Kluyveromyces lactis: one gene and its partner. The protein of the gene in region 2 interacts with the protein of the main gene of each other region in a biochemical or structural test. Links are inferred from orthologs where the notes say so. Each region holds a gene or a part of one and is shown on either strand. Other genes may lie near its edges. The genes, in order: CKA2 and SVF1.

The links.
Region 1: of the proteins of SVF1 (region 2) and CKA2, one has a biochemical effect on the other in vitro, tested with the Saccharomyces cerevisiae proteins (3 studies listed by BioGRID). The link is inferred for Kluyveromyces lactis from reciprocal best matches to the Saccharomyces cerevisiae genes SVF1 and CKA2.

The regions. Positions count from the first base shown.
Region 1 is NC_006042.1:1,518,495-1,521,563, reverse strand, and holds CKA2 (casein kinase 2 catalytic subunit CKA2), read right to left. Parts: upstream 1,765-3,069; coding exon 742-1,764; downstream 1-741. Other genes in the region: KLLA0_F16489g (uncharacterized protein), read left to right, coding at 1-134; SLD7 (Sld7p), read left to right, coding at 2,225-3,007. UniProt on the Saccharomyces cerevisiae protein: Catalytic subunit of a constitutively active serine/threonine-protein kinase complex that phosphorylates a large number of substrates containing acidic residues C-terminal to the phosphorylated serine or threonine.
Region 2 is NC_006040.1:1,145,646-1,148,976, forward strand, and holds SVF1 (Svf1p), read right to left. Parts: upstream 2,001-3,331; coding exon 789-2,000; downstream 1-788. Other genes in the region: RRM3 (DNA helicase), read left to right, coding at 2,799-3,331. UniProt on the Saccharomyces cerevisiae protein: Ceramide-binding protein that may transfer ceramides from the endoplasmic reticulum membrane to the cis-Golgi network membrane, and is thereby required for the biosynthesis of complex sphingolipids. Required for survival in response to oxidative stress.

The DNA of each region.
Region 1 (3,069 bases), on a different chromosome or scaffold from region 2:
GTGTCATTTATGATGGAACTAGTGCCATCAACGATACATGGGCCAACGAAATGATTATGAGGCAGGATTGCTTCATTCTTGATGTCCACGACAGTGACGAGGAAAACGATGAAGATTACGAAATGGAACTGTAATCTGACTCGCCCAAGAAATCTGACCTCTTAAAAAATCCCATCCACTAACACAGCATACTACACGAAATCCGTCAAAGGTCTGGGATCTTTACGCATTTGATACCAAAAGATTGTTTTTTTCCCTGTGATTGAGAAATATAGACTAATAATAATGGCATTTTCAATTCTCATCACTGAACTTTCACCGCAATAATAGTTTCGATCATGGGTTTTTGTAACTATTTCCACCCTGTTTCATATTCCTTTGGTCTATTTCCTTTCCTACTTATAGTAGTGTCTCTCTCTCTGCGCCTGCGCTAGTAAGAGCCTTTTCTTTCAGGTTTGGTAGCTATTACACCTATTAATTATATATCCTTTTTAATGAATTAACGACTATCATAATATTACATCTTCTTTAAATCTTAAGCAAAAGAGACATGTGTTTCTGTCCTCTTTTTCAGGTGTTGTATTAATTATATGTTATTAGTATACATGCTTTTAATTGGAAAGCAATCAAAGACAGAAGAAGAATCCCCCAAAGTTAACCATAAATGGAAGATAAGAGGGAAAAGAAAATTTGATGATAGAGAGATGAGAAAACAGATATATATTACCGTTTAGGCATACACTATGAGAAATCTTTTTTGAAGAATTTATGCTCCATGGCTTCTTTTGCAGTTAATCTCTCTTGGTGATCATAACGTAGTAAATGGTCGATCAAATCAATTATTTCGTCCACAGCCAACGGCGTCTTATCATTGGCGAAATAGCTCCATGGTTTCCGTTCGTAGTTCTTCATGATATCGTTGTATTCTGCAGGAAGATCCAATCCGTAATGTTTCAAGTAATAGAATAACTCCTGCGTACCAAGTACCTTGGCAATTTTCACCAATTGATCTGCATTCGTGCTTCCTTTGAAAAATGGCTCCTTCTTGAAAACAATAGCTGCTATCATACATCCGACAGCCCACAAATCTAAAGAGTAATCGTATTGGTTTAAGCTCACCAAGAGTTCAGGTCCCTTGTGATAACGAGACGCCACCCTGATGTTATAATCCACTCCCGGATGGTAAAACTCTGCTAATCCCCAATCGATCAACCTTAGCTTACGTTCATTAGGATCAATCATGACGTTTTGAGGCTTCACATCACGATGCATGATACCCATCGAATGACAATAGTCTAAAGCAGTTAACAATTGTGTGAAATAAAATTGCGTATCCGATAATGTAAACGATGGATAAAGCGTACGGAAGTCGACATTTTTCACCTCTTCAAAGATCAATGCCGGGATTTTGGATCCTGGATCTTGAACAATATCCAATAATCCAATTATATTAGGTCCCCCTGTCAAATTAGTTAACACTTTTAACTCTCTATAAATTTTCTTCATCTTCACTGGCTTGAGAACCTTGATGACGCATGGTATATCGTTCAATACAGATTTCCCTTTGAAAACTTCACTGTATTTACCACGACCAATCTTTTTTATCACTTCATAGTTCGAAATCTTACCCCAATCAATCATCACGCATTGTTCATAATCCCAGTACTCTTGAGGGCGTTTCTCACAAGCATCCTGATACACCCTAGCAACGCTATAAACTCGTTTGCTCTTCTTATTCAACGCAGAAGGTTGTAACGTCGACATGATGAGAAGGAAATCAAAAAAAAAAAAGAGATGACCTCCCTTTTCCCGTTTTCAAAACTTAGAGTCTGATGTGATCCAAAACGGTACTCTCTAGCCTCTGTAGTCTCTAACCACTTCCAACTTCTGGCTGTCTATTGTTCAATTACGTTGAGCAATAACATTTTTTTTCTTTGCCTTCACTTTATTTCAATGTTGAAAACTGAAAGCATTTTGTTTGGAGCCGTGAAAGCGTCGAGAGAAAAAAGATTCGTATGGTAACAATGGATATAAGCTAAGCTTTTGCACCGTGAACCACAATACAACGGCGGACTTTCATATACAGGGAAACTAAGACTATAAAGGAGGTGAATACATTGTCTGGTCAGTTTCAAATTGTTAAGTGAAAGTAGCAAACGTGAAAGAAGACCTCGGTAGGCCTGGTATTAGGGGAATTGGACCTGGAGAGTTGCGCGATGAACCTATGACACTAGAAAAAGAACTTATCTTGAGGCTTAATGTGGGTCATAACACTGTGATAAGAGACGTCCAGTTGTGGCGTGAATTTGAGGACGGTGATGGCCAAATTGCAGTGAAAAATTGTCTGGCAGAAGTTGTTGGAATGGTCAACATTGATAAGCTGCCGTTTTGGCTCAATAGAGGTCAACGGTACCAATGCTTCACTACTAGCGAGACCAGCGTCAATTATTTCAGAGCGAAGTTGATGAGACAACGACACAGGAATCGAGGAATTGTATGTAAAGTAACGGGATCCCAAGTGTTGACGAAAGAGCAATTCGAATATTTCCTATTCTACAAGCGTTTGAAGACCGATATAAACGCGTCTTTCGAAATTGAATCGATGGTACTTCACTTATCGACTAAACACGAACTTGATAAGAAATTGATACCGTTATCAGCCGACGAACTACAATCTGTTGTGCCAAGTAACGCTGGAGCAACGATGTCGATCGAATCGATTCTAGAGAAGAACAAACGTCAGCGAATACTGAAAAGTAACTCGTTGAACAAACAAGTCTTGCTCAACGATCAACAGCAGCAATTTATGTCGTTGCTGTCTCAGTGCATACTTTCAGGACTCAGGCTACGAGGAGTTCATCGAACTCAACACGAAAAATTGTACAAGATGACGTACAAGGCGTCTGAATTCGCTTTCAGAGACGAACTCAGAGAAACTGAACCCATTAGTTTTGAATCGATCCAAGACTGTGTAGAAACACTACTGAAACTGTTTACGAAGACCTGACTTTCAAGAAGTACATGCATATACATAGACAAAAGTAAACAAATTTTCACCGCATTTACGTT
Region 2 (3,331 bases):
CAGCTTCGCTGAGACTAATGGCCGAGATACCGTTTAATGAATGTGCTATCTATTGATACAAACCTCGTGCGCACGTGACTTGTGCACTTTTCCGGTCCTTTTTTCCCTCACATAAGGTGAGGCCTTTTTGGCCCTTTTCCAGTGCACTAAAAGTGGAACTCCAGATGGTAAGACTCCAGATGGGGACCTCGAGAAGGGGACCTCGAGAAGGGGACCTCGAGAAGGGGACCTCGAGAAGGGGACCTCCAGACGAAGAACTCCAGACGAGGAACTCCAGATTGATCTCGAGATGAAAACTCCAGACAGAGAGGCCTCAAAAAACGGGACTCCAGTTTCGCTATTGTACGTTGCGGCATATATTCACGCATATTCGGATTAATTAAGTCAATCGGGTATTTCAAGCAAACAAAGCTATTCCACTAAAGTGAGCGAAAAAAGAGGGAAATATATTACTTTAAAACTAACTAACTAGGTGAGTAAATACGGTATTTCTATAGTACATGCACGCGCTCACGGAATACTGTCGAAAAGAATTTGGGGGGAAAAGTAATAGTGGTTTGCAAATATTAGTGATATGATTATTGTTATTATTATAATTATTATCGGTGTTAGTATTATCTCTTTATCAAAGTAGTAGGTAGAACAGTGCTGGAGGAGAGACGTTGGGGTTAATCAACGTGTGTTGGTATCTAATAATAAAGGATGAGAAAGAAAAGAATAGAAAAATAAGAGTGATATATTAAAACGTTAAAAATTGATGAAGGGAAGCACTTTTTATGAGTAAGGTTCTAGTTTTCATCGTATGCAGATTCTTCCACTTCAGATGATTCTGAAATGAAAGTAATTTCGCACCACCCGAAACCTTTCGATTCCTGGTCTTTAATAGTTAATTCGAAGTCGTCGAAAAACTGGTAGATATACGGTTTGGTACCAGCGACACCAGAAACGATGTTCTTGACAAAAGTTGGAATCTCAGCCATGACGTCGACTCTTTCCACCAGGTTATCCAATTTACCCTTGACGATAGTGTTGAATGGATCAGCAGATTCAACGTCATCGTCTTTGATGTCGGCATTGATACCGTTAAAGGAGACAGAGATTTCCTTTGGTACAGGCCATCCGACAGAATCGACTTCAGGGTCGATATATTCAGCATCGTTATCTACTGTCACGGATAAAATGTTCTTGGTGTCACATACAATCCCGATATTTACCGTAGTGTTGGCGTATGATTTAGGCGTGGTGAATTCCATAAGCACGGCAGTGTAGTCCTCTGATTGGAAGTTTAAAAAGGTCCAAGATTTGGCAGCATGATGTGGTTTCATACCTTGCATAGCGAAAACGAACATGGAATAATGTTTCTTTTCTTCTGAAAACTGTAAATCGATCTTGACATTAGTTTCCTCATTCTTAGCAGCAATCTTACCAGATATGTGGTTTCTTGGCCAGAAAACATGTCTCATACTACCCCAAGGTTGAGTAACATCGTCACCGTAGTAAGTGGATGGATCTTCACCGACTTTGACACCGTCAACTGCTCTACGGATGGTGAAATCCACTTCGACGTTTTCGTCCACGGTAGACTTGAATTGCACTTCGGTACCTTCTTCGTTCATTACAATAGATAGATTGTCAGCGTAGAAATTAGTTCCCTCTATTCTGAAATTCTCTAACTTCACCGATGTCCAAATTTGATCATCTGTATTTTCCTTGTGGTAAATCCTGAAAGTAAACTGAGCAGTAGTATGCAATCCAATGATGTTGGAATGGATCACTTGAGCGAACCCAGTGTATCCAGTTTCCAGATCAGTAAAGTAAAAAGTTGATGTCTCAACGTTCGTGTAGTCTGGATTCCTCCACTCGAAATCCTTCGTACTAGTAACATGGAATGGCTGCTTACCCTTAACTCTTTCAGTACATGGATGAATGTACTCTTGGCCATATTCTGGCTCAGCAATCCCTGTGACGGCACTAATACCACCTTGAATCCACTTCAACATTTCGATAGTGAATAAATTTGTAGGCTTAACTTTCGATGCAAACTCGAGATTTCTTACAGTAAAGCTATGCTTGATACTGTGTGCGTAGATGTGCGATGTTCAAATGACAAAGAAATAACTCGCTATTTTCTATGACTTACAGCAATCTAATAAATCAAACAAACCGATGAGAAGGTTTGAGACTGAACTTACTCTGTAATTCACTTATTAGAATCAATGAAATAGAAAAGAAATAGAACGCAAACCCGTACAATAACTATAATCAATGACTACTGGACTGGTTCTGATGCGCTGATAACGACTGTTTTTGGTATTTGTCTCGCCCCCCTCGTTTACTGTTTGTTGTTTGTTGTTCTCTAAGTTTCGTTTCTTAAGTGAGATGAGTTTTGTTGATTTTTTTTCTTTTTCGTATGGGCGAAACGAGCTAGTCACGTGATCTGATGTTTTACGAGGAGCTTTGACCCTATTAGCACCAATAAAAAGCATTTGGGTTCCGTACCATCACTTGGTGGAATAGATCTCAGATGGGGGTCAGTAAACAATGCTGATGGGCCCTTGTAAGCACGGCATCAGTGCTTGGCAAATAATAGCAACTGTTACCCGGATAATACACGCATTTCCAAAATGTCAACAAACCAAAATCACCGAGAAACACGTAAGAAACTGATACATGATCCATCGATGAAGCAGGAAAAATACCCTATTAGCGCTCTATCTCTGGTCCATACCTAGTTTATACCTGCTTGAATCAATAGGACGAGCTGCGGTAGCCTTTTTACCAGTTTTTAATTGGATAAAATGCTGAATAAGCTTAATGCTAATAAGAAGAATAAGAAGAAAGATGGACAGAGCACCTTGAATATGTTCTTCAAAGTGAAGAATAAGCCCGCATTAGAATCATCTTCAAGTTTTAATTCACACTTCACTGAAAAAACTGTTTCTCCTCCAGTGAAAGCATTGAGAACACAGTCTGTGCTTTCGTCTTTGCATTCCCAAGGGTCGTTTGAAGAAGAATCAAATGATGATTTCTACAGTCTGCTACGAGAAAAGAAACCAGTGAAAAACTTTAAGCCATCATCTCAAACGTTCCTATCATCGTCACAGTTTCAATGTCAGTCCGGTAGTTCCTTTTCGTCCCAAACTTCAACAGTATCGGGTTACTTTTCTTCCACAACTGCAACTGCAACTGCAACTGCAACTGCAACTGAATCTAGTTGGCAAAAACCTAAGCTGGAAAGAACATTATCAGGAGTCAAGAGAACGTATTCTGATGTATCAGATGGTTCACAAAGTTCTTCATCTTCAAATGCGTTATCTCTTTCCTCAGTAAA